2 linked regions of the Cricetulus griseus genome follow. The protein of the gene in region 1 binds, or shares a complex with, the protein of each later gene. Links are inferred from orthologs where the notes say so. Each region holds a gene or a part of one and is shown in the gene's direction. Other genes may lie near its edges.

Region 1 (9,587 bases):
GCTGCTGCTTGCCGGGCGTTGGTGCTGCACGCCTTTAATTCCAGCACTCTGGAGGCTGAGGCAGGCGGATCTCTGTGAGTTTGAGACCAGCCTTGTCTACAAGAGCTAGTTCCAGGACAGGCTCCAAAGCTACAGAGAAACCCTGTCTCAAAACAAACCAAAAAAAAAAAAAAGATGCTGCTGCTGTCCTGGATTAAGTTGCTTCTGGTCTTTTCTGATAACTGCTCACCATTCTGGACAGTTAGTCTCATTCTGTTAGACTTGAAGTCTGGGTGCTTTTCTCCTATCTGGAGCAGTTGTTTGTGAGAGAGAGTCTGTGGGGCAGTTGGCATAGCTCTGGGGATTCCTGTTCACTGCATTGTTACTCCTCTTCTTAAGCAGTAGCTGAGTGTGAAAAGCCAAGTGACTTCTGGCTTTCCTGTAGTTTCATTGGCTCATTTACTAAGTCACTTTATACCTCCTATAAGATAAAGTGAGGGATTGTTCAGGAAAAGTGGGTCAGAATGAACTCAGCTGCATTTGTTTTGTTGATGAGTATAAAAGCTGGTCTTTGGGGGCTGGAGTGATAGCTCAGCAGTTACGGAGTGTTCTTCCAGAGCACTAGAGTTAGGTTCCCAGCACCTATGTCAGATGGCTCATAACCTCACAACCTCCTGTAACTCCAGCTCTAGGGGATCTGACACATATACTAGGCACATATACTAACCCATACACATACCTAAAAATAGTAAAACAAATCTTTAAAAAAAAATAAATAAAAGAGGTGGTCCTCAGAAGCCTGGTCAGTGGTTTGTCCCTGAGGTGTCTGCACATTGAAATGACTTCTGCTTGATTACTGCATCCTGAGGAATTATTGCATTGTCTTCATGAGTCTCGAATGCCTTAGAATTAACCACCTGTGTCTGAGGATGTAAACACTGCGCTCTTCAGTTAGCACCATGATTTATGATTTCTCCTCAGTGCTGGGGAAACAACCTACAGTCTGGAGCATGCCAATGACCTTCGAGTGGAAGTGCAGAAAGTGTATGAACTAATAGACACTTTAAGGTAAAGTTTGCTAGATCATGTTTTTGCTGCTTGCTAATGGGACAAAAATGGTGTTTTGATGAAACAGTGAGTGGTGGGGAGCAGCTTGGGCTTATCTAGATTCCTGGTGACAGTGAAAACAGTGGAGGAACTTTTTCATCTACTGTAGCTCTGGAACTTCTTGTTAAGGATTTGGAGTGCTTACCGGTGGTGTGTAGATCAGTAATAGAGTATTCTCCTAGTATGTACAATGCCCTGGGTTGCGTCCCTAGCATACTGGGGACTAGAGAAAAAGATTTCTGATGTTCATTAGTAATAAAGAAATAAGAACTAGCTGCTGTACTACCTGTATGCCTGTCCTCGTGGGACAGATCAGGATTAGCACCTCCATTTTATAAGAGAGAAGCTTTGATAGAAACACAGGTTCTTTGTGTGGCTCCACTCTTGAATATTTTAAGATAGTGACAGCAAGTCATGAAAATATGGGTTGTTAGTTGCCATACCCTGTGTTCACTTGTGAAGCCAGGCTTTCCTGTGTTGCTACTACTGTGACCAAGCATTCATCAGTGCAGTGTTAGAGTAGCCAGAGGGTAAGGAATGGGCCTTGCTATGAGGGACACTTCAGTTTCTTCTGTGTTGTTCCACATCCTCGTGGTATGAAAGCCTGGCAGCTCCAGAGACTTCACTCTGTTGCTGAGGCTGGCAGCACCATTACATTGACACGTTTATTCCAATATAGTAAGAAGATCTTAACCTTGGGCTTGAACCAGGATCCTTCACCACATCCAAACACCTTGCGGCTACAGAGAATGATCAGATATTCAGCTACACTATTTGTGCAGGTAAAGTCATTTGTGACATTAAGTGTGTGACTTGCTTGTTTTCTATTGGTATATTATTATTCCTTAAAATTATGAATACCACATTTGGAGAAAAAGATAAAACCCAAGTAAAAGTAAAGATACTTTTTAAAAATCATTAAACATTTTGACAACTTCATACATACATACAGTTATTTTGGATATACTCACCCCCATTACCCACTCTCTTTCCTTCCATTCCTGCTCATAACTTCATCCTAGCTAGTCTACCTCCTGCTTCATGCCATCTATCTATCCATCTATTTATCCATCCATCCATCCATCCATCCATCCATCCATCCATGTATCTATCTATCGTGTGTGTGTGTGTGTGTGTGTGTGTGTGTGTGTGTGTGTGTGTGTGTGTGTGTGTGTTTTGTATTTTAGATTTTCTTTTTGATTGTGTATGCGTGTGTCTGCATGTGGATTGATAGGCATGTAAGTGCAAGTGCTGCAGAGTCCAGAGAGGGCATTAAATCCCTTGGATCTGGAGTGACAGGCAGTTGAAGTAACTGATGTTGGAGCCGGAACCAAATTCAGGTCCTCTTTACTCCTGAGCCATTTCTGCAGCCCCAGGTCTTGTGTTTAAAATAGCTTTTAATCCTATGTCTCCAATACAATTGTTCTTCATTCTGTTATATTTTCTTTCTTAATTCTGTTTCTCTATTTACATTTTATATGCGATATTTATAATTAGTTCATTGCATTATTTTTCTCATTGCTGTGATAAAATACTTTGAACTTAAGGAAGACTTTATTTGGGCTACAGTTTGAAATCTGTCAAGGTGAAGTGGTCATGGTGACAGGAGCTTGAAGAAACTGGTCACATTTTATCTGAGTCAGGAAACAGAGACAGATGAATGTTGGTGCTCAGCTAGCTCTTTCCTTTTATTCAGTCTGGGAGCCCAGCTTATAGGACAGTGCCACCCACACCAGAGTGGGTCTTCCCACCTGAAACTTTTTTTTGGAAAGACCTTTATGGACACACCCAGAGGTGTGTTTCAATTCTAAACCCATCCAAGTAGACAAGGAAGATCAACCCTTCCATACATACCTACAAATTTATATCATTTTATATTCTTTTTGTGTGTCGTCATCCCCCCCCCCTCCCACCGAGCTGAGGACTGAACCCAGGGCCTTGTGCTTGCTAGGCAAGCACTCTACCACTGAGCTAAATCCCCAACCCCGATTTGTATCATTTTAATCACTGAATCTTCTATGCTTTGTTGGCCATGGAATGCTACTTTGACTCTGTATGCTCTCCTTTGTTGAACCACTCATTGGGGGAGTTGATGAATCCTAAGTTTTTGCTATTAGTGGTAAGTTATATTTCTTCTTTTGGGGACTCTTTCTGGGCCATTGGCTAATGGTTCAAGAGTAGGCTATAAACCTAGGTGACTAGATCTGAGTTGCATTTTTCTACCTCTGATGTCCCCTGCATTGTTGGAGCCCCTAGATGACTTGGTTGAAGGAGCTCTAAGAAGACTCCTCTCCCTGGCATTGTTTCTTGCTCGGATCATCTGAGGAAGGCCAGGAGCCCTAGAAGTTTCATGAGTTTCCTGAGTCTTGTCAGTTTCTTGAAGTTTCATGACTTAAGCCTCCAGCTTAAAAGTCCTCCAGGAGGGTTTTTTGTTTTTGTTTTTGTTTTTTTTTTTTTTTTTTTGGTTTTTCGAGACAGGGTTTCTCTGTGTAGCTTTGGAGCCTATCCTGGAACTAGCTCTTGTAGACCAGGCTGGCCTCAAACTCACAGAGATCCGTCTGCCTCTGCCTCCCAAGTGCTGGGATTAAAGGTGTGCACCACCAACGCCCGGCCAGGAGGGAATATTTCTATTGGTAGAATGTGGTTACATAGCCGGGCGTTGGTGGAGCACGCTTTTAATCTCAACACTCGGGAGGCAGAGGCAGGCGTGAGTTCCAGACCAGCCTGGTCTCCAGAGCGAGTACCAGGATAGGCTCCAAAGCTACACAGAGAAACCCTGTCTTGAAAAACCAAAAAGAAAAAAAAAAAAAAGAATGTGGTTACATAGCAAGGAATCAACAAAAATTACTAAAAGGTGATATGTTGGGCAGTATGAAGTACGAGGGAGAGATCTGGGGTTGGTGATTAAGCACAAAGGGTGGCGGGTGGTGGGTGGCGGGAGTGCTGGAGTCTAGATGGGTGTTGGTAGATGGGATCGGGACACAGCCTCAGGGAAAAACTGGCACAGTCCTGGGAGATACCTGGAGATAAGATATGGCCGTCTCATAAGGAGAAGTCAGGTCCATCTGAAAGGTGTCTGCCAATTAGGAAGAATATCCTTCCTGTCAGGGGGTGGAGTGGCTTAGCTTAAGTGTATAAGGCTTAAGGCCCAGCCCCTGTCATGTCTCCTCCCCCCCCAAAAAAAACCCACTTACGTGTAAAATTGTCTATTACTCTCCTACAGGAAAAGTTACTGGGTTTGATGTCATTGCCAACCAAAGAACAGTTTGAAGAACTGAAAAAGAAAAGGAAGCAAGACTTGGAACAGAAGAGGACCATGGAGAGACAGGTGCGGGGCACCCAGGCACCCAGTAGCTATTGTCTTCCTGCTGTCATACCCTAGCCCTCTGCTGCTGAGTCTCTTTCTCAAGCTGGCTTCTGTTATGGCCTTAGAAAAATAGTTGTTTTTCCTGCTGATGCTCTCCTGCCTAGACCACCACAGGGATTGACAATTTTCCCTTTGGTAGGCTTGCAGGCAAGTTCCAAAAGACCTTGGAATGTGTACTGTTAAACAGAAGACAGCAGGTGTGGTGGTACATGCCTGGATTCCAGACCAGCCTGGGCTAGATAGTGAGGCCGTGTTACTTACAAAAAAAATGAGGGTGCTGTTTCATAGTCCGGTGATAGAATGCTTGCTTAGCATGCTTGAGGCCCTGGGTTCTATTTCCAGTACCACAAAAAAACAAAATGAAAACTTAGAACACTGTGTACTTTAGTGTCATCTGAAATGCTAACCTTATGTTAATAAGGGTGGCAGTCTTTGAAAGTTTAAGAAAAGTGTATAGCCAGTGAAACTAAGTTTGAAGAAATCACCTGAACTTATGTTTTATTTCTGAAAATCTAAGCCTGCCCTTCTGTGACTACCTTGTTTCAGCAGTTGAGTTATCTTAGTGTTGTGGGGACCATGGAGGGTGGCAGAAAGGGAGGACTGCTGGCCTGTTGACCATGGTGACCCTGGTGGTGTGTGCTGTCTCTGCAGGCTGCTCTGGAGTCCCGGAGGAAGCTCGAAGAAAGGCAGAGTGGTTTTGCAGCCAATGGGGAAGCGAAGTCTCTCCGAGGCATCCATGCTCCCTTGCGAAAAGCTGAGGGCTGGCTTCCACTGTCAGAAGGTCAGGGGCAGAGTGAAAACCCTGACCCTCTCCTCCAGCAAATCAACAACATCACGTCCTTCATCAGGCAGGCCAAGGCTGCAGGCCGCACAGATGAGGTGCGTACACTTCAGGAGAACCTGAGGCAGCTGCAGGATGAGTATGACCAGCAGCAGACTGAGAAGGCCATTGAACTGTCCCGGAGGCAGGCTGAGGAGGAGGAGCTGCAGCGAGAGCAGCTGCAGATGCTCCGCAGGCGGGAGCTGGAGCGAGAACAGGAGCAGTTCCTGGCAGCATCCCTGCACACACGGACTCGTGCTCTAGATCTCCGAGATGTCGTACCCTTCCAGTTGGATCCCAACCGAGGGCCTCACAGTGATCTTGCCTATGCCTTGGATCAGGACTTCTCCCCAGTTCAGGGCAGCACTGCCCCCAATACCCTTTCACCTGGCTCAACTCTAGCACCTATCCACTTATGGTCTGGGCCCCCAGCACTTGGCCAGGAATTACTCCTGCAGAACACCATGTCACAACAAAGTGATAAGACCTCTCTCAACCCATTTGATGAAGACCTCTCCAGCCCTGCAGAGGGTGCTACCAGCCCTGCTGCTGCAGAGGCTTTCCTGGGCCCTTCAGCTCCTGTCACCAGAGAATACAATCCTTTTGAGGAAGATGCTGAGGAAGAGGAGGCAGGAGAGTCAGGGGCAGGGAATCCCTTCACTGACCCAAACAGTCCAGCACCCAACCCCTTTGATGAGGATGACCATCCCAGGCCTGCCAGCCCACCTGCCCCTGGAAACCCTTTTGAGGAGTGCCCCTGCACCAACCCCTTTGAGGTGGACAGTGACAGTGGCACAGAGGCTGAGGAGCACATTGAGGAGGAGCTGCTCCTGCAGCAGATTGACAACATCAAGGCTTACATCTTTGATGCCAAGCAGTGTGGTCGAATGGACGAGGTTGAGGTGCTGACTGAGAACCTTCGGGAGTTGAAGTGTACCCTGGCTAAGCAGAAGGGGGGCCCTAACTGACAGCAGTGGTCAGGGACCAGGCAGCAGGGTACCGAGGGGGAGGAGGAGCTAGGTGGGCATCTGGATGCACACAGTGAGGGGTGGGAACAGTAGTCTCTTGTTGTGCACTTTGAGGTGTTTCCACTATAGTTGAACAAGAACAGAAAACAAATCGGCATTCGTTTGCTGGTTTTTCTGTATTATTATTTTTTTAACGGTGTGTTCCCTTTTCAGGGGACTTTACCATTTTATTTCTGAGATACAGCTCAGTGCATCTCTGTTGGGCCAAGGCAGAATGGCTCCTGGACACCTCTTGGTCCATTTCCTGCTGACTGGTCTTGGTCTTCAATGCAGTATTATAGGTCAGTCCTTCACGGGCCCCTTCCTGTAGCCAAGACAGGTAGGGACTCTGGAAGAAGACTCTATTTGGCTGTTGCCTTTCACCACCTCCCTCCTTGGGCTGTCTCCTGGACACTTAGGGAGATGGCTACTATGAAGGGAAGTCTGGACCCAGGGGGACTAGTGGAGACGTTGCCAGTGTTATCCTCTCCCAGTTAAAGGAAGTAAAGTTTCCAAGTGCAGGGTTGTCAATGTGAGCTTGATTATGAGATAGGAGTGATCAGCTTTTTGGTGGATGTTATAGTTTGGGAGAATGGCCACTCTCTAGGTCACATTGAAGGGCCTGTAGTGCAATTTAGGAATCTGACCAGGAAGCTTCTGTGGAGTATCGGCAGCAGATGGGACACTTCTGAGTCAGGAAATAAATTTTAGCCTTCACTGTGGTTCATCCTGACCTGGGAAACTGGTGAGATGTTTTCCTACTACTTGGAGTACTGAGAAAGAGAAATATTTGATGCACAACCTCAGATCATTCCATAGTCCTGAAGTACTTGAACTCTGATAGGGACAGAAAGAGAAGTTATGTAGCTTAGTGCTTTGGTTTACAGAAACAGATGGGTTGACAGATGACTTTGTAAGATCCTGGTGTGCTCAGCTCTGTGTAATCTCTTCAGTGATGCTATTTAGTTAATGGACAATAACTGACCACTAGGCACTTTACCCCTGAGCCATGGCTTCTGTTGGTTATTGGTGTATAGGCTGAAATTCTTTTGTCACATTCTGGTGAAGATCCATCTTGGTGGTAAGAATGGCATCTGGTGCAAAGATCTCTATTTTGGCAACTGTTCATTAGTATCTGTTGGGGGCTTTGACTGGGTAGAAAGTCCTGTTGGAGAGGGAGGGTAATGGAGAACTTTTTGGGTTCTGTCAGCAGGTGTTTACTGACCTGTGAGTGTATTACCAGTGCCAGTCAGTTGCCAGCTCTGGTGGTGTCATGGGCTGTCCTGGGAGGTGGGCAGCCTGGCATCCGAGTTTCCTGGGGCAGGCCTCTTCTCTTGCTAAGGCCCAGGCTCTAGATGCTGTTGCCCTACGGTTCCAGACAGGCCCAGCATATCCACCTTGCTTGGACTGTCTTTTGTCTGATGGAAGAGGAGGCGGCTCTTTACACAGAATGAAGCTCAATACTGGTTCCCACAGCCACTTTTCCTGATATAGATCCAAGGTGTTCAGGGTGGTATGGCTGTAGACATTGCTTTTCTTAATTAGCTAAATGTACTCCTTTCCTGAACTCACCTCCAGGTAGCAGTCTGTGACTGAGAGCATGGAAAAAACAAGTGCTTCTAACAACTATTTTTAAAATCTCAATTCACTGAGTATTAAACCAAGTAAACAGACCCCAGATGTTTCACTGAGTTTCTCCTTGAATTCCTCTTTGACAATACTCTGTAAGTAAGACATGACAGGGGAGACTTGTCTACCCTTTGGCTGTATCACTTCCTAGAATTTATGTAGGTCAAGGTTGGTTTGCAGAGGGTTTGGCCTGTGAGTGTAACTACACAGTGTACCTCATTTGAACCCTTGCTGACCCAGAGGTGCTCCAGGGAAAACAGCCCCACCTGCTTAGTAAAGGAGCACATCCTTGACAGGGAGTTGGCAGCTCCTCTAGACAGAGGTCACGCTCGTCTGTGGAAGGGCTTCTGACTTTGTCCCCTTCTAACACACTAAGGAACTGGAGCCTCACTCACGGCACTTACTGCTCATCATGTCTTTGTTGTCAGATGCTAAAATGTCCTTCTAAGTCATCATGAGTCATGTGGCATAGCTAGGCCATTCGATCCGCATTGAGGAGTTGGTCTCTGTACTAGGTCAGACTGGAGGAACAGGTGTGCTAATAATCATGGTGGCTGTCAGCTCGATGGTCATTGATGTGCATGCACTACACTGGGGCCTTGTATCAGAGGCTTTTATTAAAATAAAACAACATGTATGTGAGTCTTTTATTAAAAAATAACATGTTTGTGGCTGGGTGTGTGTGTTCTTAAAACAACCCTCCATCCCCTATAGTGATATATTATTTATCATTTATTAAAGCTTGTCTGAGAGTCAGAGAAGCAAAGCAGCCAGCCACTAGCTCTTACCTCTACTTCAGGCTGAAATGGCTGTCCTCTCCTCAGCGTGACTGGAGAATAAATCTCTGAGGCGGAGTTTGTTTCTTCCTTTTATATCTGTCAAACCCTGGAATTAAGTGTGTGATCTCATCTCTTTCCTGCTGTTCCCCTGGGGCAGACAGGACTTTTCCTGTCTCCCTCTTCTGTCCTCTCTCTGTCTCTTTACCTCTTTTCTCTTTCCTCCCCCCTTCCCTTTCTAATAAAACTTCTCACACACACACAAAAAGTATGTGATCTCAAGTTCTGAGATCACCTTTGTGTGAGTTGTTTCTCTTTGGGACTAGATTAATTTCAGTAGCTCAGGGTGGCCTTGAACTAACAGAGATCCATCTGCCATCTCCAGAGTCCTGGGATTAATGGTGTGTGCTACCACTGCCTGGCTCTGTGACTTGCTAATATAGCTAGTTTCAGGACAGCCTCCAAAGCCACAGAGAAACCCTATCTCGAAAAACCAAAAAAGTAAGAAAAGTGTGTCTCACCATCGTCTGCCTCTGTGGTTTGTGGCTGCTTTGCTTCATCAAGCAAGCTTTAATAAATCATAAATATTCTATCACCACATCCCCCTTTTGTAGTGTGTGTTTGTTGTGTGTGATGTTTGTATGTGCACATGGAGGCCAGAGGACAACCTTGGGTATTTGTCTTAGGAAAGCCACCCACCTTTTAGGCAGTTTCTCATCCTAAAGCTCTCCAGTTAGGCTAGACTGGCTGGTCAACATCCCAGGGGTCCTCTTGTCTTCCCCTTCCCAGCCTGGGGTCACAAATGCATGTAGCCATGATCAACACTTTCTGAGGATCAAGCTCAGGTCCTTGTGTTGCAAAGTAAGCATTAAAGGGAGCCGTTTGACATCCTTCTGTACTTC
Region 2 (10,087 bases), on another chromosome or scaffold:
GACTGCTGTAGCCTGAATTCTTTTCAAAGACCTCTAATCAAAGGAAGGTCTTTTGTTTGTTTGTTTTGTTTTGTTTTTTGAGACAGAGTTTCTCTATGTAGCTTTGGAGCCTGTCCTGGAACTCACTCTGCAGACAAGGCTGGCCTCAAACTCACCGAGATCTGCCTGCTTCTGTCTCCTGAGAGCTGGAATTAAAGGTGTGGGCTACCACCACCCAGCTTCCCCCCCTGCCCCCGCCCCCGCCCGCGCTTGTTTTTAAGATAAGGTCTGTTTATGTAGCCCTGGCTCTCACTATATAGGCCCAGCTGGCCTCGAACTCACAGAGATCCGCCTGCCTCTGCCTCCTGAGTGCTGGGATTAAAGGCATGCGCCACCAACGCCCGGACAGAAAAATAATTTTAGAACAAGTCAGTATGAAGCAAAACTGTAGTTTATTAAGAGAAATGGGAGGGGGTGGTGCTGGAAAGATGGTTCAGTGGTTAAGAACACTTGCTCTTATAAAGGACCTGGGTTTGGTTCTCAGCACCCACATCAGGTGGATCACAAACCCTCTGTAACTCCAGTTCCAGAGGATCTGATACCCTCTTCTGGCCTTCAAGGAGGCACTTGCATGCATGTGATGCACACGTATGTATTCGGACCCACATGGATACACATAAAATTTTAAAATAATAAATCTTTTTAAGGCTTGTTTAGTTCTCTCTTACATGTATAGGTATTTAACTGCACATATGTCTGTGAACGCGTGCATATCATACCCATGGAGACTAGAAAGGGACATTGGATTCCCCTGGGATTGGAGTTACCCAAGGTTGCTAGCTGTCAAGTAGGTACTGGGAATTGAATCTGGATCCTCTGGAAGAGCAGCCAGTGTTCTTTTTCTTCCCGAGACAGGGTTTCTCTGTGTAGCCCTAGCTGTCTTGAATTCTATAGACCAGGACAGTTTAGACCAGGACAGGACAGAGTTTGATACACACTCTATCTCGAACTCAGAGATCTGCCTGTCTCTGCCTCCCAAGTACTGGGATTAAAGACATGTGGTACCACTGCTAGCTACAGCCAGTGTCCTTCATAGTTGGGCTCTCAGCCGGGTGTTGGTGGTGCATGCCTTTAATCCCAGCACTCAGGAGACAGAGGCAGGCGGATCGCTGTGAGTTTGAGGCCAGCCTGGTCTCCAGAGCGAGTGCCAGGATAGGCTCCAAAGCTACACACAGAAACCCTGTCTCGAAAAACCAACAACAACAAAAACAATAGTTGAGCTATCTCTCCAGCCTCCTTAAGGTTAATAAAGTTTTAATCATAGAAATTAAAAGAATGAGAGAGAGAGAAAAGAAAAGGACATGGGTGAATGGGTGTTCTCAAAAGAGAAGAGTGTGGCTGAAGATGGGGCTCAGTTGGTAAAGTGTTTACTAAGCATACATGAAGCCTAAACTCAATCCCCAGAGCTGCATAGACCAGGCATGGTGGTACAAAACTCTGATCTCAGCACTCAGGAGGCAGAGGCAGAAGTTCAAGGTTACCCTCAGTAACATACTGAGTTGGAGACCAGCCTTAGTTACATGAGACCCTGTCTCAAAAATAAAAATAAAAAAGAGAGAGAGACAGCTTCAAGTGTCTTAACAATAGCATATATATATATATATAATATTATATATAATATATTATGTTTATGATTTTGGTTTTATTTTAATTCTTTTATACATTTATTTATTGTGTATGTGCATGTACACATGTATGCTTACTATTTATTTTGTGTTGCATAAGTGAGCATTGCAGTCAGAGGATGAACTTTCTATGTTTTTGGTGCCAGGTCATCAGCCTTGGTGACAAGTACCTTTACTCACTAGGCCATTCTGTCAGCCCTGTTTTTTTTGTTTTGTTTTGTTAGTTTTTTTGTTTTGTTGTATGTGTATGTGTGTACAGGTGGACATGTATGTCTGTGCACATGTATGTAGAGGCCAGATGTTGATATTGGGTATCTTTCTCTATCACTACCTTCTTTTCTGACAGTTTATTTCTAAATCTGGAGGTTACTGATTTCACAAGAATAGCTGACCAGTAGGCCCCGTGGGTCTCTGTCACTGTCTTCCCAGTGTTAGGGTTACAGCTTTTTACACTGAGAATCTCAGCTCAGGTCCTCATACTTTGTATGACAAGCACTTACCAAATGGCTCACCTCCCAGCCCTTGCTTTTGTTTTTTGAGGCAGGTTAGCTGGAGTTTTCTTTCTATTACTGTGATAAAACACCACAACCAAAAGCAACTTGAGGAGGAAATGTTTATTTCAGAGTATACTTCCACATCAAAGTGTGTCATCAAAGAAAGTTAAGGTAGAAACTGGAGGCAGGAACTGAAGCAGAAGCCATGGAGGAGTGCTGCTTACTGGCTTGTTCCTCATGCCTAGCTCAGCCTGTTTTCTTATAGAACTCAGGCTACCTGCCCAGTGGTGGCACCATAGTGGGATGGGCCACTAATCAAGAAAATGCCCCACCAGCTTGCCTACAGACCAATTTTATGAAATAATTTTCTCAATTGTGGTGCCTTCTTCTCAGATACCAGCTCATGTCAAGTTGACAAAAAATACCAACCAGGACAGGGTCTCATGTAGCTAAGATTGGCTGGTTTGAACTCTCAATATTCCTTCCTCCATTTCTTGAGGGATAGAACTACAAACACGATATCATACTTGGCAATTTTGATGCCCTCCCTTTCTTTTTAAAAAATTAGGTCATAGAGTTGTTTCTGAGGTACACTTCATAGGATTAGAGGCCAAGATAAAAACATAGGTCACAAGGGCCAAAAGATTCTTTACTATATTAAGTCATAAAAGTTAAGACATTTTTGTTTGTTTGTTTGTTTTTGAGACAGAGTCTCACAAAGCAGCCCTGGCTTGCCTAGAACTCACTCTGTGAACCAGACTGGACTCAAACTCAGAGATCTGCTTGATTCTGCTTCCTGGGTTCTAGAATTAAAGGCCTGTGCCACCATGCCTAACTAAGACATGTGTTTTGAATGTAATCTTGTTTGTGAGGTCCTCAGAAATAGTACAGATTTACATCTGGGAAAGAAACTAAGCTAAGCTCAAAGCTCACATACTGGGGCCATAAGCACAGTTCATTGCTATCTTAACTTCTTATATGAAATATCTCTATTTCAAAATTGTGTAAGCAATCATTTTTGTACTTTTAAAACTTATTCATTTCTTTTTGAGCTGTGTCTCTTTTATCTTTGTTTCCCCTCCAATTCAAAACAATCCTCCAGCCTATGCCTCCCGAATGCTGAGATTACAGACAAGGGATACCTTGCTAGGCAATCTCAACTGCAAATTGTGCGTACTGTGCCAGCAAGAGGCTTCAACAAGTCTTCAGGATGAGGGCTCTTTTCCTAATTTCCTGTGTGAGAAAACACGAGAGTGAAATATTGAACCAGACAGCACGGAGCAGGTGATAGATTCGTGGCAGAGCCAGATGGCCTAGGATGAAAAGGTACACAGTGGCCTTCTCCACCATTCAGGCCTCTGTTGCTACTGTGAAGAAGGTAGGCTCTTAGGGCCTGGTTTGCTCAGGTGGGCCAAATTCCCAGTTTGCCTTTCAGTAATTGTCCCGGACCCCTTTCTTTGGGATAGGAGCAGGTTCTGTCCTGCATTGTTTCCTAAGCCGAACACACCTTTGAAATTAGCCTGCAGTAAGGGCCAGGCAACATTGTGCCCCAATCTCCAATGCACAGTTCCCTGAAAGTCTTGAGTCGGGGAGTTCAGGTGACCAATTACTCTTGCCTGGGGTAAGAGCTTGGCTTTCAGCTGGTGAACCAACCTCCCACCCCCCACCCCCTCCCCCCACCCCGTTTTCCTTCAAAGCAAGCCCCCGGTCCACCCCTGGCTTGCTAGGTCATACTTAAGGATGACTGAGTCTGTGTTGCAATGCCATCTGGGAGGACCTACCGGGTGCAGGCACCCCACCCGAGCCCCGCCCCTCCTTCCTTCCTGGTCCCCCTCCTTCATCTTCCTTCGCTTCACCTCCTCCTTGGAGTAGGAGCCTCTCACCAGTTCTCTCCCTGTCCCTCCACCCCTTCCCCAGCCCTGCTCCTCCTCCCTCCAGCGACCCCGCCTCCCCCCACCCCGGCCTGGCTCCTCAGCGGGGCGGCGGTGCGCAGGCGCGGAGCCGAGTCCCGCTGGGCCGCAGCCGGTGGCCGGCTCGCAGTGGGCCTGTACCCGGCCCTCCACGCTCGGTTCCCCCTCGCTCTGCGGACACCAGAGGACTGACCGGACCACGCGGAACTGTAGCGACAGAATGGCGCAGACCGCCATGTCCGAGACTTACGGTAAATCGCGCTGGTTCGTGGGTATGTGTGTAGGGGGGCAGGCCTTGGGATCCCGGAATGTTTGTGGCTGGGGTTAGGGTATCCAGAGCCGGTGTTTAGAATATCGAGATGTTGGGACTGGACTGGGATCCTAAGAACCTCGCGGTGTCAGGGGCCAGGTGAAGATACTGAGAATCTTGGGATGTTTATGGCTGGGCTGGGATCCTAGTAATCTTGGGATTCTGAGAATCTAGGTCTCAGGGGTCAGGTGGAGATACTGAGAATCCCGGGGTGTCAGCTGCTGGGATCCTGAGATTCTTGGAGTGTCAAGGTCGGGCTAGAACTTGAGAGCGCCTGGATGTTTGAGGCTGGGCTGGAATCTTGAGGATGGGGGTGGAGGGTGTCGGGAGCTGGGTTGGACTCTCTGGCCAGTAGGTGCTCCTAGCTGTGCAAAGCATTGTGATCCTCTCTTCCAAGTTCCCTCCTGCTTTGACCCTACATTGGATTATTTAAATAGATCAAGGTTGGGGGAGCCGGTTTATCACTGATTCTCCCCCTCCCCACTGCAGCACCGAGCGCAGGGATGAAGGCTCGGCCACGCCTGCATTTAGTGTCTTTGGGGGCATGGCTGTGGGCCCCTCAAGGTTTGGAATTCCTTTCTTTGCATTGAGATTATAATGAGTTTTAAATGGTTGAGTGCATCTCTTTTCTGGAGACCCCCTAGCCTCGTGTATCTTTCCATCCCTCCCTCATCCCTGTTTGGGTTGCATTATAGCTTTTTATAAACATATGTCCTCTTTATGACCATAAGCCTTGGATATGGAGCTGTGTTTTTCATCTTTGTTTCTCCTACAGCACCCAGCCGTTTCTAATGCATGTGCTGGGTATTGTCCCGCCCCTCCTCCCCCCACACACCCAGTCGAGGTAAGAATAAACAACTGGTAGTGTGCATGGTTGCCAGCCCCTAACTGAGACTTGAGACTTTGACTTGGTATGTGCTGGTTACAGGGAGGGACTCCCATGTAAAAGCATGGTGATCATTTCGTGTTATCCCAATGTGTTAACCTGCTACTTTCCTGCCACAGGGTGGGGCCAGGGTCCAGCCAGGGAGATTCTAATCATTGTAAAAGTGCTATGGAAACTTCCCCAAGAGTTTGCAGTCCAGTGAGGAATAGATTGTTAATCCAGTTGTGACCTTAATAGATGAACAATTAAAATCCAGGCAGCAGTTCCAAAAGAGCTTGGTCTGTCCAACTGTGTGAGAAAGAGCTGACCCAGATGGGTCAGAGAGGGGCATGTGGACAGGCAGATCTGGGGATCTGGTCTGGGAGCATGGTTTGGGCACCTTAACTTGAGTAGGCAGTTAAAGAACCTTGAGGTTTGGACTTTGAGAGGGTGGGACCCTGGGAAGGGTATTATGAGGCACACAGTAGCCTGGTGCACTGTCTCCTGGCACCAGCACTCTTGTGGCACTGAGGCATTTGTCTGACCCTAAGACACTATCTATGGGTATCGGTTTTGTCAGGGCTACAGGTGTGTTTACCTTTTCCTTCATTTCAAGGTATTTTCCAAATATGCCTTTAGTTTTAATTTTTGTTTATTTTGAGACAGTTTCTCTATATATAGTTCTGGACAACTTAGCCCAGGCTGGCCCCACACTTGAAGCAATATCCACAATATCCATGTGTCCCCATGTCCTGGTTTTTACTTTTGTTTTTTGGGGGGTTTTTTTGTTTTTGTTTTTTGAGACAGGGTTTCTCTGTGGCTTTGGAGGCTGTCCTGGAACTAGCTCTTGTAGACCAGGCTGGTCTCGAACTCACAGAGATCCACCTGCCTCTGCCTCCCGAGTGCTGGGATTAAAGGTGTGCGCCACCAACGCCCGGCTAGGTTTTTACTTTTTAACTAAGTCTGAATTTAGTCTTTCCTTTCAATGGAGGAAACAAACAAAAAGCAAATAGAAACTAATAAGTGGAAGTTTAGCTTTAGAAAGAGGCAAGAGTGGTCTCTAAAGCTGCTGGCATAAAAGAATAGTCACCCAGAACCAAGGCAGAGGCTGTCACCTTCACTCATCCTTGACTATGTTTACACAGTATTGTTCCCCAAATTAAAACAACCAAGACCTCTCCTTCCAGACCTTTGCCTGTTGGCTGGCATAGGAATGTTTGCCTAACCTTTAAGTTCCGTGTGTTTGAGGCTGGTTTTCTCTCTTCCGTGAAAGGAGGTTCTGTGCAGCTTGGTGGAAATTCAATGAAAAATGGGAGCCAGTGTTTATGGCTACTGCTATTGAGCTGGCTGCTAATGGCCTGTAGAACAGTCCTGGCACATTGCACAGGCTGAGTGGTGGTCAGCACTTTCTTGATCTGAAGTCCCTAACTCCACGAACACTGTGCTTTAGATCACGTAATAATGTAAATTGGAATGTTAAACAGGTAGGCTTTTCACTTTTGAAATGTGGTTAGCCTAGTCCACCTGATGAGACTGAGACACTAGGATATTAGTAAAGTATACTACTGGGTGTGGCTGTGGTGGGTTTCTAGACATGATTAGATACTAGAGGCTCCAGACTAATCAATGAATTAAACCCTTGATATATTCATTATCTGATGTTATTATTGGCAGGTGATCAAAGAGGTTGGAGGTAGGACATGACTGGAAGAAACTGGAGGAATGTCCTTGGAGCTCTTTTTCACCCCTGCCTCTTCTTGTAGTCCCTTCTCTCTGCTTCCTGGCCTCTGTTGATGTCAACTGTCCCATCACATATCCCCAGCTGCGATGGGCTGACTCCTGTGAAACTAAGCCAAACAAATCCCTCCTCCCTTCAGTTCTCTTGGGCATTTTGGTCCCAGCTAGCAAAAGTGAATGTCCCTAACCCGAAGGGAGGTTCTCCTAGTTATTGTTAGAGACACAGCATCCTATGGCTATATGCGTTCAATGAGCATTATCGGGGCCAAGGATTCATGTTGGCAGCCTGAGACCTGAGAGTTTGAAAGCTATCCTCAAGTACTTCCTGACACCCAATGGTGAGTCACAGAAATTACTAAGCAGTGTATGTGGTGGGAAAGTGCCAGGGAGCTTTTAAACCTCCAGGACAGAGAAGACTGACCTGGAGGAAGAATTTGAGACAGGTGACTGTGCATTACAATTTATGCCAGGTGCTATGCGAGAAACTCCTGAGACATAAGAATTCTGCTCATGTTGCTGGCCCCATGGTGGTTTCTGTCCTAGTATATTCAGCATAGTATATTCCACCTCGAAAATAACACACAGCGTTCTGGTGTCTAACAGATAAGGTTGAGATCATCAGGGTGTTTTTCTGCTAACTGCGCATCCTCATTTGTGTGCATGAGGTTTGAATTGTGTCCTCAAAGTCACACATACATCCTAGCTCTGGACCTGTGGATGTGACCTTATTTGGGACAAGGTCTTTGCTGGTGATTATTGAAGGTGGAGTCACGCTGGGGTTTTATGTCTCAAACTTGGTGACTGTGTTCCAGTGAGACCAGAGAAATATGGACATACATGTTTGTACATACACAAGGAGAGTGGGCTTTGGCAGCGAGCCTCAGGTTGGAGAGGTCCAGTACCCAGTCAAGGTACCCCCAGCATAGCTGCCAACCACCAGAAACTAGGAAGAGACAGGAAGCACCCCTTCCTGAGCCTGCAGGAGCTCAAATGCTGCCACACCTCACTGCAGCCTCTGGCTCTGACAGCAAATATCTGCCACATTAAGCCAGTGGACTTGGGACACTTTAAGGTAAAAGCCTCGGAAGGTAACTCACAGGACTTAGTTGTTACATGATGAATCTTGAAATGTAGGCTTGATAAGGCAATTTGGATTGTCGAGGATATGCCAAATTAAAAAGAGCAACATTTTCAAAGTCCCTTCATTTATAAAGTAAAATTAATTTCCTGTTTGGAAAATCACCTGAATTACCATTGCCTTAACTCAAAATTACAAAACATTTAAACAGTTCAAGCAGACATCAGAAAAAAGACTGCCAAAGTTGGGGTTTTCTTTTTCTCATTCATTGAAGATTTTAAGAAGCAAGGACTAGGGCTGGGGTGGGAGGCATGTCCTTGATCTCAGCACTTAGGACGTGGAGGCAGAAGGATCAGAAGTTGAAGGTCATCCCTTACTATACTATATAGGGAGCTGGAGAACAACCTATGCTACATGTGATCCTGTATCAAAAAAAAAAAAAAAAGGAAAGAGAGAGGAAAGGGAAGGAGGTATGGAGGAAGGAGAGAAAGGCAGGCTAGTAAGATGCCTCGGAAGGCAGAGCACTCATTTCACAGTCAGACTCCTCATAGGACCCGCAGCTCCCTGGATGTGCATGAGAGAAGGGGCCTTGAGAAAATTATGTTGGAATTCAGTATCATTGAAAAACCATGATTATTGGGTAAATATAAGTTTGAAATTTTCTTCTTGCTATAATAGCAGTCCTTCTGTTAAAGACCATGCCAGTGTCTTTGTTTTTTGTTTGTTTGTTTGTTTAAGAATTCCCATGTTGGCCGGGTGGTGGCATATGCCTTTAATCCCAGCCAGCACTCTGGGATCTCTGGGAATTTGAGGCCAGCGTGGTCTACAAAGTGAGTTCCAGAACAGCTATAGCTATTATATTATAAAGAAACCCTGTCTCAAAAAAAAAAAAAAAGAAAAAGAATTTACATGTTGGCCCACTTTGTATCAATTATTCATAACAAGACTTCTTTTTTTTAACAATTCAACATTGATTTACTATGAACCAGGCTGACCTCAAACTTACAGAGATCTACCTGCCTCTGCCTTCTGAATGCTGGGATTAACCCAACTCTGTGTGTGTGCGCGCGCGCGCGCGCGCGCGCGCGTGCGTGCGTGCGTGCGTGCGTGTGTGTGTGTGTGTGATGTATGGGTGCCCACAGAGGTCCAAAGAGGACATCTGAGCTTCTGGATCTGGAGTAACAGGCAGCTGTGAGCTGGGCCCTGGAGTCGAACTCTGGTTCTCTGGAAGGGCAGGAAGTGTTCTTAACTATTGAGTCATCTCTCCACCCCTGAACATTTCTTTGACATGAGAAAAGGTTCATGTTGTTTCTGGAATTTCTTCTCTCAGGTCTTCCTAGGGGGTGTGGTCAAACTGAGCTTGTATGTTTTTATCATTCTTAGTAATTCTAGTAGAATATTGCCCAGTTAAAGTGTTGGAAGCCTCTGCTGGCTTGCGCCCTGGCCTGTGCCTTAACCCCTGTTGCTGGATAGGGCAATTGTGGGGTATGTGTGTGTTTGTAAGATTTACTTTTCTATTATATGTATGAGTGCTTGCCTGGATGTATGTAAATATACTGTGTGTGCCTGATGCCCAAAGTGGTCAGATGACAGCATTGGATGCCCTGGAACTGGAGTTATGGTGATCATAATATGGGATCAAGCAGGTGATTGTGAGATGGGATCAAGCTGGATTGTTTTCTGTGCATTTGAAGGCCATGTGATATTTGCTACTTACTGACTGTAACTGTGGAATAAAATATAAGATGGCACAGGACAGTTCTACCTATTATTTAAAAGGTAGAACTGAGTGTCATGCCAATAGTCCCAACACTTGTGAAGTAGAGGTAGGAGGGTAGCCTGGGCTATATGAAACCCTGTCTTTTAAAAAGATAAAAGAAAAGGAACTATATTATAGCAGAGAACATAAGGCAAGTAAGCACTGTATACTTAAACATTTTATTTATTTATTATTTTTTAAGCTTGTCTATGAGTTCCAAGGAGCTGGGTGGGGTAGCACAGCCTTTAATCCTAGCTCCCAGAGGCAGAA

What was found.
Region 2: the proteins of Rbsn (region 1) and Rab4a are in contact, whole or in part, in a crystal structure (PDB 1Z0K), measured with the Homo sapiens proteins. The link is inferred for Cricetulus griseus from reciprocal best matches to the Homo sapiens genes RBSN and RAB4A. Residues at the interface, in NP_001289307.1 of Homo sapiens: Glu441, Gly442, Trp443, Leu444, Pro445, Ser447, Glu454, Pro458, Leu459, Gln461, Gln462, Asn465, Ile466, Phe469, Asp480, Glu481, Thr484, Leu485, Asn488, Leu492, Glu495, Gln499; in NP_004569.2 of Homo sapiens: Tyr10, Leu30, His31, Ile34, Glu35, Ile46, Gly47, Val48, Glu49, Phe50, Gly51, Ser52, Lys53, Lys63, Gln65, Trp67, Arg74, Phe75, Ser77, Val78, Ser81, Tyr82.

What each region holds. Positions count from the first base shown.
Region 1 is NC_048601.1:51,603,660-51,613,246, forward strand, and holds the end of Rbsn (rabenosyn-5), read left to right. Parts: intron 1-960; coding exon 961-1,047; intron 1,048-1,765; coding exon 1,766-1,868; intron 1,869-4,309; coding exon 4,310-4,414; intron 4,415-5,104; coding exon 5,105-6,241; 3' UTR 6,242-8,578; downstream 8,579-9,587. UniProt on the Homo sapiens protein: Rab4/Rab5 effector protein acting in early endocytic membrane fusion and membrane trafficking of recycling endosomes. Required for endosome fusion either homotypically or with clathrin coated vesicles.
Region 2 is NC_048596.1:200,483,994-200,494,080, forward strand, and holds the start of Rab4a (ras-related protein Rab-4A), read left to right. Parts: upstream 1-3,990; 5' UTR 3,991-4,288; coding exon of another isoform or gene 4,289-4,319; intron 4,320-5,153; 5' UTR 5,154-5,173; coding exon 5,174-5,222; intron 5,223-10,087. UniProt on the Homo sapiens protein: The small GTPases Rab are key regulators of intracellular membrane trafficking, from the formation of transport vesicles to their fusion with membranes.